Linked DNA regions of Neurospora crassa OR74A. The protein of the gene in region 2 binds, or shares a complex with, the protein of the main gene of each other region. Links are inferred from orthologs where the notes say so. Each region holds a gene or a part of one and is shown on either strand. Other genes may lie near its edges.

The links.
Region 1: NCU08034 (region 2) and NCU07548 share a complex: the UniProt entries of both Schizosaccharomyces pombe proteins name them as parts of the spliceosome. The link is inferred for Neurospora crassa OR74A from reciprocal best matches to the Schizosaccharomyces pombe genes usp102 and usp101.
Region 3: NCU08034 (region 2) and NCU02559 share a complex: the UniProt entries of both Schizosaccharomyces pombe proteins name them as parts of the spliceosome. The link is inferred for Neurospora crassa OR74A from reciprocal best matches to the Schizosaccharomyces pombe genes usp102 and frg1.

What each region holds. Positions count from the first base shown.
Region 1 is NC_026503.1:4,407,042-4,410,793, forward strand, and holds the start of NCU07548 (hypothetical protein), read left to right. Parts: upstream 1-1,099; 5' UTR 1,100-1,448; coding exon 1,449-1,710; intron 1,711-1,816; coding exon 1,817-1,944; intron 1,945-2,030; coding exon 2,031-2,136; intron 2,137-2,402; coding exon 2,403-3,154; 3' UTR 3,155-3,752. Other genes in the region: NCU07549 (mitochondrial 54S ribosomal protein MRPL51), read right to left, coding at 1-257, 560-642, 727-768. UniProt on the Schizosaccharomyces pombe protein: Involved in nuclear mRNA splicing. Essential for growth.
Region 2 is NC_026504.1:3,974,053-3,977,432, forward strand, and holds NCU08034 (small nuclear ribonucleoprotein U), read left to right. Parts: upstream 1-1,485; 5' UTR 1,486-1,663; coding exon 1,664-1,695; intron 1,696-1,816; coding exon 1,817-2,130; intron 2,131-2,201; coding exon 2,202-2,599; 3' UTR 2,600-2,800; downstream 2,801-3,380. Other genes in the region: NCU08033 (hypothetical protein), read right to left, coding at 1-744; vma-8 (vacuolar ATPase subunit D), read right to left, coding at 2,919-3,148, 3,209-3,249, 3,315-3,380. UniProt on the Schizosaccharomyces pombe protein: Involved in nuclear mRNA splicing.
Region 3 is NC_026501.1:2,733,664-2,736,883, forward strand, and holds NCU02559 (hypothetical protein), read right to left. Parts: upstream 1,883-3,220; 5' UTR 1,763-1,882; coding exon 1,335-1,762; intron 1,223-1,334; coding exon 784-1,222; 3' UTR 635-783; downstream 1-634. Other genes in the region: NCU02558 (MADS-box MEF2 type transcription factor), read left to right, coding at 1-202; NCU02560 (hypothetical protein), read left to right, coding at 2,345-2,396, 2,509-3,220. UniProt on the Schizosaccharomyces pombe protein: May have a role in processing of pre-rRNA or in the assembly of rRNA into ribosomal subunits. May be involved in pre-mRNA splicing.

The DNA.
Region 1 (3,752 bases), on a different chromosome or scaffold from region 2:
AGACACCTCTGACACTGGGGTTCGTGCTGGTGACGGGCTTCTTGAACTTCTGGGGCTTCTCGCCGCTCGCGTCGCGGAGGAGCTCGGCCTTCTTGAGGATCTCGAGCGGCTCCATGTTGCGCACGCAAATGGCCTTGGTGCGCCCGTTGATGTAGTGGCCCATGAGGATCGGGTGCTTGGCGGGCCGGGGAGAGACGACGAACTCGATTTGCGGGTTGGCGGCGGCGAATTTGGGGAGGAGGGATTTGATGAAGCCGCTAGATGGAGGAAGAAGTAAGTGTTAGTGAAAGAGTCTGTCTGCTGAGGTCGCGAAGGGAGACTGGAGGGATAAGGAGGGACGAGGAGGGACGAGGAGGGACGAGGAGGGACGAGGAGGGACGAGAAAAAGGGTATGTAGTGGTGGATGGATGGATGGATGGATGGTCGGGGACGGCGGGATGGTCTCGAGATCTTGGGAGGATGTCGGTTTGGTTGGACGTGTAGAGGTATTGGTATATGTGAAAGATGTTCGATCGGGAATGAGGTTGCGATGTCCATATTCGAAGAATCCTAAACGTACTTCATGCCCCGGGAGCTGCCGGCCCAGTCACTGTAGTGGATGTCCAACTTCTTGCACTGCAAGACGAATGCGCCGACGCCATTCTAGATACAAAACAATCAACGATTAGCATTCTTTTTTTTCTGAAAATTAAAGTTTTTAGTTGCTCAGGCTGCGGTCTAACTTACACGGCCGGCAGAGGAGATCTGCGTCAATGCTTTTACCGTCATTGTTGTGATGCTCTTCTTCTTCTTCTTCTTCGCCGCCGTCCTCGCCTTGCAACAAGTCCGAGTCCACCAGGGTTCATGATCCGGAGGGCGGGTGCGACTTGAACTTCTGCCAGACTCCCGCCCCGTCGCGCGCCGGCACGGCACTGGGGGTGGGGGACCCGCCCAACTGCAAAAGCGGTTGGCAGAATCAATTTCACGCGATTGCACTCCTCCTTGGGTGTGTGCGTAGTGATAACGAAGACGACCTAAGGGTGCACGGTCCCTCTTTCGCACTCAGTCGTTCGGTGGTCGAGCGCGCGAGAAAGCTGCCCAGCAAGAGCTCCAGTCGCTGCGAGGCTGCCAGGCAGTGGACGACACAACACCAGACAGGGCCCTTTGCTGCTCCCGCCTCCCACCCTCTGTCTCTCGTCTTCAGCTGTCCAAGCAAAGTCGCGAAAATGCGGGTTTGACCTTTCTCGCAAACCGACAACACCACATTATCGCCATCACAAGAATTGGCAAACAGTAACAGCGTTCAGCCTTATTGAACTGTTCTCGCCCGGCTTTCCGAACAGTGGATCAAACGCCAGACGACCTACATTTCCTGGTTTCCGACATATCGATTTCATAATTCGACGACAGATAAGATCAACAAAAAAACACCACTTGACCAGCTACAACAGCGACAACGTGAAGCGACAATGACAGACCGGCTCCCGCCTAACCTCCTCGCACTCTTTGCGCCCCGGCCACCTCTGCGCTGGGTGCCGCCCTGCGATGTTGCTCCCGAAGAGCGCAAGTCGGCCTTCATCACCCCCGTTGCCGACTTCCTTCCTGCCATGCAGGCCTACGAGCAAGAATACGAGTACCATCCCACCGAGAGCTGGCTGGAGGCGCGCGACCGCAAGAAGCGCGAGAAGAAGGAAGCTTTGGAGAAGCTGTTGACCGAGGGTCCCAAGAATTGTACGCGGCAAACCCCCAACGTTACGCGCAGTTGTGCTCGCTACTCCTTTACTTGATCATGATCTTGCTGTCGTGCGGCTTGCTAACCGATGGCGTTTATCTGTAGACAACCCTAATGACGATCCCAACATCAGAGGAGATGCTTTCAAGACGTTGATAGTAGCGCGTCTTGACTACCGTGCTGATGAACAGGATCTCGAGCGCGAGTTTAGCCGCTACGGTCCTATCGAGCGTGTGAGTTTGCAAACCCCCCCTCCTCCTATATCATGATTTCACAGCTATGTGTGTGTTAATTGACAAGAACTGACACCAAAAAACAGATCCGTATCATCAGAGATACCCACGCCGATGAGAACCCAAACAAGAAGAAAAAGCCCCATCGTGGCTATGCTTTTGTCGTTTTCGAACGCGAAAAGGACATGAGAGGTAATGACCAGCCCCCCTTGACCCCCCCCCCCCCCCTCTTCTTGACATTCAACCAGCACACACAGACAAGGAAACGCCCGCTGTCGGTGCTTTTCTGTAAGCCCACAACCAGGACTCGAATGGCCCTCAAGCTTGCCTGTCCTGCGGAAACTTTTTCGTCTTCCCTCTATCCATTCATCTTCCACGTCGTATACCTTAAAGGTAGTATTGTTTCTTCATGGTAAGGCCTTACTGACACCTGCGCCTGTGGCGCATGCGCAATCCAGCTGCTCTAGATGGCTGTGATGGCGCCCGTATTAAGGATCGCCGCATCAAGGTCGATGTAGAGAGAGGCCGCACGGTTAAGGGATGGAAACCTCGTCGTCTCGGTGGCGGCCTTGGTGGTCGTGGTTACACCAAGGCAATGCCCGCTAGGCCCATGGGTCCCGGTGGATTTGGCGGTCCCGGTGGCTTCCGCGGTGGTGGTTTTGGTGGCGGATTTAGAGGACGCGACCGCGGCTTCAGGGGTGGTGGCGGCCCCGGCGGCGGCTTTGGAGGTGGTGATCGCTTCGGTGGACGTAGCGGTGGCGGCGGTTTTGGTGGCGGACGTGACGGCGGCCGTGGCTTCGGCGGCCCAGGTGGCAGCAGTTTCTCGCCTCCGTCTAATGCTCCCAATGGTCCCGGTGGTGGCTTCGGCGGCCGTGACCGTGACAGTCATCGTGACAGGGACCGCGATCGCGACAGCCGCAGGGACGGTCCTAGCGGAAGCAGCGGTGGGTACGGTGGGCGTGATGGCGGTCGCTCATATGATGACAGATCTGGCGGCGGAGGTTTCCGCGGCGGCGAACGCAACGCTCGGCAGACTGGCAGCAACATGGAGCCCATCAGGCCTAGAGAACCCGGAGCCCCAAGGGAATCCAGAGACGGTGGGTATCACGGTGGCCGCGACTACGACAGGCCCAGAGATCACGACGACTCATCCAGGAAACGCGGATACGACGGCGGATACGAAGACCCCAGGAAGTTGCGGCGCTACTAGACATGATGGCTGCGAAACAGCATTGACAGACCTCCTAAGCAACAACAACATACTGGTCCGGTTTGTCTCGTGGTGGGTATCATCAGCCCCCTCTCACTGCTCTCAAGTTTCCACTCAGTATTATTCTTCCCTTTTCCTTCGACGATAAGGGTAAGCCACGATGATCACTTCTCACGTGTCATACTTGACTATGGACCGTGTCAACTATCCACGACCAGAAGAATAGTGGGAGGTATCCATGTTCGAGACACTTGGACGTCCAAAGCGGATGTGATTATCTTTTCCGGTGGCTAAGGTAACCGCGTCATAAGGATCCAAAGAGCAATGGTTTGCATGCTCATCAGCCCAAGTCCGAATGGCAATCCGTCCGGCCTTCCGTTCCATCGGTCTGTCAGTCACATCAGTCCAAAGACAACTGGAGGTCTAGAACTCCAGGTGGCACTGGTGAGAGATTTCGTCAACGCATGCACGGTGGTGTGGCACCCGTCGCATACAACCTTGGCAACTTAGGACAGTACACTCAAAAGCGTTCCGCCATTGTCTTTTCGGGAGTAACAAGACATCAATCAGCATCCGTTGCAGGAAGCTAAAATCGAGG
Region 2 (3,380 bases):
GTGGAGAAAGTTATTTTTCTCGGAGAACATGAGGTCGGAGCTCTTGCTGGCGTTGCCCCAGCGCAGGTTGGCGAAGTCGGGAGACGTTTGACACTGTATCGATTCAAGGATTCGTTCGACCTGCCAAGCGAGGACCAAGATAACAGGTAACCGCAGCGCAAGCCGAAGAGTCCAGCGTAGTGCAAGTCGGCGGCGAGTAGCGGCGAATATGTGTGTTCGGTTGAAGACAACGGCCATGACGATGCATGCTAGAGCCCACTTGCTTGTTGCGTAGCTAAAGACGCTCCCTAAACCTCTTGCGCCCTCCATTGTAAATCGTGATGCGAAGGCGGCTGACTCTTGGCCCGTAGCAGTGGCCGCGGCCGAAGATGATGCGGATTCGAGTATGGCTCGAGCGGCGTCGGCGGCGGTGGTGCTGTCAGGAGTAGTCGTGACAAAGAAAGCGGCTGGATCGGTCGACTCGGCTATGACGCGCTGGCCAAAGCCGTCAATGGCATCGGGGTAGAATATATAGGAGCCGCCCAGCTTCCCCAGCTTCTTCACCATCCTGGGTCCCGCCCAGACCAAATCCTCGAGCGTAGGCGCCAGTTTCGTCACGTTGAACGCATAGCCCAGGTGCTGGGCGGTCCAGAGCGTGAAGTTGTGCCATGCGCTGGCATTGTTAAGCACCGGGATGGGTACTGATGTCGACGCCAAGGCTGCCGCCGCCGTTGCAGCACCCGGCAGGAAAACACTATCGTCCATAATGGGATCTTATGGAATGGAAGGTGAATGTATCACGCTGAGGTTCGGGCTCGCAAACTCCTCTTTTACTGCGTAATGAGCTGGGTGGCGATCGCCGGCTGCGTCGGCAACTGGCTAACCGCCTATCTTCACTTCTGTCTCTTCCTGGTTGCGCGAGTCCTTGTCTCTCATCTGGTGGTTTCGCTCAGGAAAACGTCCAGCATCTTCGCATGACAGAAAGGGGCGGCAAACCGAGACGGTTGTTACGCGTATGGACAGCTGTTGGGTTCCCAGGTTGTTTGATATAGTAAGTATAGAAGCTGGATTTCAGGATGCTGAGACGGCCACAACATGGAGACTGAGTGGGAAACCAGAGACAAGAGGGGAGAGGACAGGACCGCTGTTGCCGCGGGACGAGACACACCCTGCGACAGCGGGCAAAGCGGAGAGAATGGACTACTTACCCGACACTGCATCGGAGCAATCAACAGCGAGCAACAGGCGGGCCTTGCGATAAGTTGCATGGAATGATAGCCGAGCGGGATGAGGTAACTGGTGGGGCCCCACGCCCCAGACAGGCTTGTTACATTCGTGTGTAGTGTACAGTGCCTAGACTAGAGGTAGTAGCCTCCTAGCGTCACGTAGCGCAGCTGAGCCCAGGTGGTGCCTCCTGAGCGCTTCCCGTCCTTGCGCTAGGCATAGAGTCCCTTGTTGAATTGCGGATCCCCAACTCACCACCAAAAAAAGCAACTCCACTAAGAACTTGCACTTGGACATCATTACACTTCAAGATTGCTCGGTGATAACCGACCACGACACCTACAGTACCTACTAGTCCTATTCTTGCGCACGAGCATTTTACGATCTTCACGATCATCACGCGCATAGATCCTTCGTACCGTTCCAATCGCTATTTTTAAAACGTCGATAGCCACCAACAATGGCTTCAGCTGGACAGGCCCCCATCGCTACGTATGTGTCATTGCACTCCGACACATACAAAGCACTGGCTGGTGTCGGGTGTTTCTTTCTAGTCGAGAGGTAATCCCGGAACACGATCAAGCTAACCGACCCATGTTTGCGGTTTGTGTAGAGTCTATGTACGCAATCTCGAGGAGCGCGTCAAGCCAGAGCCCCTCAAGGAGGCCCTGCGCACCATCTTCTCCGAATACGGCAATGTGATTGATATCGTCGCCAAGACCAACCTCAAGGCCAAGGGCCAGGCCTTTGTGGTCTTTGACAAACCCGAGTCGGCTCAGGCTGCCATCGATGAACTCCAGGGCTTCGAGCTGTTTGAGAAGCCCATGGTGGTGACCCTGGCGCGGACGAGGAGCGACGCTACGGTTATTCAGACTGGCAACGAGGAGGAGTTTGACCAGCACAAGCGCAGGCGCATTGCTGAGAAGGGTATGGTCCCTTCGCCTCCCCGACCCCCAATTAGCAGCGAGAGCATTCGATCTGACAATCATCCGCCACAGACAAGAAGAGAGCCCTCGAAGTCGCCGAACAACAAAACCGCCTCAAGCGTCCTCTCCAGGGTGCCGCCCCCGATGCGCGCCCTGCCAAGAACCAACGCGGTGCCGGCCTCAAGGCTACGGGCCAGGGCCCTGCTGCTGTTGTACCCGACGAGTACCTACCTCCCAACCGTATTCTCTTCGTCCAGAACCTACCCGACGACTTCACCAAGGACGACCTCACTACCATCTTTTCCCGCTTCGATGGCTTCCGCGAAGTCCGTACTGTGCCTGGTCGCAGTGGTATCGCTTTCGTCGAATACGATGCCGAGGCTGGTGCAATTACCGCCAAGGAGAACACGGCCGGCATGGCCCTGAAGAACGGCGAAAAGATCATGAAGGTTACCTACCAGAGACAGTAGAGCATGTTTTGAAGGATGCGTGCCCGGGGAAAGTCAACAAAGGAAGCAGTAGTATTGTGCGATACAGATGTTATGCACTGCACAGTTTATCAGAGTGTGCTAGAAGTTTTTCGTTTCGTGAGGGCACCACTCGGGCAGTTCGCAAAGCGCCTTCTTCAGATACCCATTGCTACAACAAGATTAAAAACAAGACAAACTCCTCAATTGCGCCCATGCCCTTTGCCTCAACAATTCTCATGCAAACAAAACATTCTTGATCGTCATCGACAGTCCGTCCAGCCATCAGCGATTCGCAATACGTTAAACAGTTGACATCAAACTAGAAGATGACGTCTTCGTCCTCCTCGGCAGCCAAGATATCGGCAGGGGTGTTTTCGGTTTGTTCACCTTCAGCATTCTCAGAGTCTGCAAGGGCTAGCCGCTGCTGCTCTGCCTTCTTTGCTTTCATCTGAGCGTCAGTTTCCGCATTGTCTCGTTGCTTCTTGGCAGCAACCTTCTTGAGTCTGTAGAACTCCTCTCTGTCAAGCTCGTCGAGTTCCGAGTTGATGTCTATAATAGCTGTCAGTAATCTACCCTAGTGCCGGAACCTTGGGGTTTACATCTACTTACACTTGATGGTGTTTTCGGTCCGAGGAATAATGACGTGCTCACTAGAAACTCCGTGTTAGTGTCCCCCATTCTATCTTGCAGGGAAGACAGGTTTGGTTCGCCTTACATCGCATTGACTCTCCGGTTGACGACCTTGATGACCTCATCAAGGATAACGAACGCCGTCTGCAGA
Region 3 (3,220 bases), on a different chromosome or scaffold from region 2:
ATGGGGATATGGCATCAGCGCGGAGAGCAACACGCTTCCTAGTCCATTGAACTTTGCTACACCTGTTAATGGAACCGGGCCATCGTTCTTGAGAGACGATCCCACTCCACTGAAGAGGAAGAGCCCCGAGACGAAAAGTACTGGGCCCGAGAATGACACTGGGAACAATCAAGATGCTAAACGGATGCGGCTCGAATCTTAGGTCGACCCCGTCATCTCTTTCTTCACTTTCTGTTCCTGAATACTTATTGTAACAAAATAATACTCTTAGCATGGTATAGCGGCGTTCGTGATTGACTTTTTATTGGCTCTCATTCCCTTGGGCATGGGTTTTTCTTTTCATTTCATTTTATTGATCTTCTATTTTTCCTATCTTTTCTCCAAATAGTTTTTCCAATTTTTATGATGGCCTGATCGGATAGAGCCTAAGGAAGTTTACGGTCAAGTGGTTTTACGGCGTTGTATGGTGTAAGGCGCGTTAGATCAAGGACTACTTGGTGTATCAAGTTATTGTTGCTTTCCAGCCCTCTTCTTGCCGAAACATAGTGCAACTTCAATGTCACTCCTTCCCTCTTGCGCTGCTTCCAACGTGTTATAGAATCATCACTGGAAGATACATAGTGCAGTCTTCAAGTCCAACCAATGAGTTCCATCTATTGAGATCTAAGTCACATTTTCTTGGGTATCGTGTAAAGTCTCATACCATCGTAGAGGTAGGTTTAAAACCCCCCCCGCACGCGCGTGGCCAGCAGGCCCCGTCTCTCTTCACCTCTGCCTGCTCCCTTAACCATACTTGTCGTGTTTTCCCTTCACTTTCAAATCTAACATGACCTCATGATAATTACCCTCCCTCCTCGCCCTCTTCAATTTCTTCACTTCGTCCTCCTCCAATCTCCTCCCCACGGCCTCCTCTAGCTCGCGCCGGCTAATCTTCTCCCGCGCCTTCTCCTCCTTCGACGCCTTGATCCGCGGCTTGAACCGCGCCTGCATCCGGATTCGCAGCGTGGAATCGAACGAGATCTCTGTCGCATCGCCGCGCACCTCAGGTGCCGCGTTAGCTTTTGATGAATTCGATGCGCGGACTGTTAAGAATGTGTCCCGTAAAGTTTGGATTTGGAAGGTGCCAGGTGTGTCGAAGGTCGGGATTATGGTGAAGGATTCGAGGGAGGTGATGGCATCGGAGTTAGCGGTGAAGAGACCAATTTTGTCGCAGCTTAGGTACCTAGTAAAATCACAGGGAGAACTGATTAGTAATTATTCGGATAGGACGAGTTTTGGTCGGAACCGGGAAGAATGAAGGGGGCTTCTCAGAAGAAACTTTGATCATAACGTACTTCCCATGATGCCCTTTAAACCTATGATTCTCTGTTCCCACAATCTTATTCGCCACCCACACCTGCCTCACATCGTGCGGTTCCGCCGTCGCCGGGTTGCCGTCCACAATATTCTCGATGGGCAAAGTAAACACCTTGCCCGTGACGTCGCAGGCGAGCGCAGTCGGAGGCTCGGTCGGGAGGACGAACATGATGGGACCAGATACGTCGGAGGGCGTGTCGGCAGATACCCAGCTGTCGTCGTGTTCCTCGCCTTCTATTTCTTCATTGGAAGCGGTGGCGGCAGTAGTGGTGATATCGGAACTGGTGGCTGATGCTTTGAATTGCTTCTTTTGCCGTTCTGGAACGTCATCGTCGTTTTGGTCGGTTGTTGTGCGTTTTCTCTTTTTGGCCTTTTTGTCGCCCTTAAAGGTGAGAGGTTTCACCATATTTGATGCTCCGTCGGACTGTATGTGGCTGTTTTGCGGTCTGCTTTCGAAAGTTATGGTTCAATCGAGCGCGTGTGTTGACGTGACCGATCCGACCGACGATGATGGAAACAAGACAAGTCCATAGCGGTACCTACCTCTACATACCTAGGTACCTACCTAAAGGTAGATAAGATCGAAGTCTTATCGATAAGAAATTCAACGGTCCTTGCCCCATCATGCTTGCTGGGCAAACCCCGCTTCGGGGTGCGGCAGTGGAAGGCCCGGAAATGCCCGTTGGAGCCGGCCGGGCCCCCACTCATGCCCCATCTCTCGGCCGGGCCCACTTCCCTTGTCGAGCAGGTCCGTAAGGCTTTGGCAGACTCTGAGCGGCTCGGGAACTGGTTAGCGTCGGCCATCGACTTGGTTGGTTCCTTGAGTATCTTATAAGATCCAGACGATACGTAAGTCGTTTAGAAACGGAAAATTTTACGAGGTAATACAAGTCAGACCTGTGATCCTCTTCGGCGGTGACGGCTTTCCTTGATCGCTTTAGTATCTGAACGATTTGTTCAACAGTTTATCTTTCGACCACTTATAGAAATGGCGCCCATTGCACAGGCGGTTACGGTATCTTTGAATGATTTGAAGAACGGTAAATTACCCGTCACACTCGAGCGTATTACCTCGATTATAAGCCGGCCGCTCTGACTACAGATCAGGGTTGACGAATTTTAAATGACCCTACTGACATGGCATCTTGACAGGAACTGTCTCCTTAGAGGCACTCGAGGAGGCGTTTGGTCCCGATTCACTCGGCATCCTGGTCGTTAAGGACGTCCCCGCGGAATTCGCTGAGCTGCGCCACCGATTGCTATCTTACTCCTCGTACCTTGGAAACCTTCCCAAGTCCGAACTTGACCGGCTCGAAAACGAAAAGGCCAAGTATCTGACTGGCTGGTCGCTCGGCAAGGAGACTTTGAAAAATGGCCAGGTCGACAACCTGAAGGGTTCCTACTATGCCAACTGCGCCTTTTATGTTGACCCTTCGTTGTCTTGCGCAAAGCCGACGGAGGAGTTCAACCCCGATAACTTCCCCGAATACTTGTCGCCCAACCTGTGGCCCCAGGAGAGCACCCTGCCTGGATTCAAGCCTACCTTTGAAGATCTCTGTCGCTTGATTATCGACGTTGCCGTCCTTGTTGCGCGTGCCTGCGACCGATTCGCCGAGAAGCAGATTGCTGGCTATCCGGCGGGCTATCTAGAGGGTGTCGTGAAGACCTCGACTACCACCAAGGCCCGTCTCCTGCATTACTTCCCCGAGGAGGCGACCGCGACGGATGCCAGCAAGGAGAGCAACAAGGAGGAGGAGGGCGATGAGGACGACTGGTGCGCCACCCATCTTGACCACGGTTGTCTTACCGGCTTGACCTCCGCCATGTTCGTCGACGAGGCGGCCACGCCCCCAGTTGTCAACCC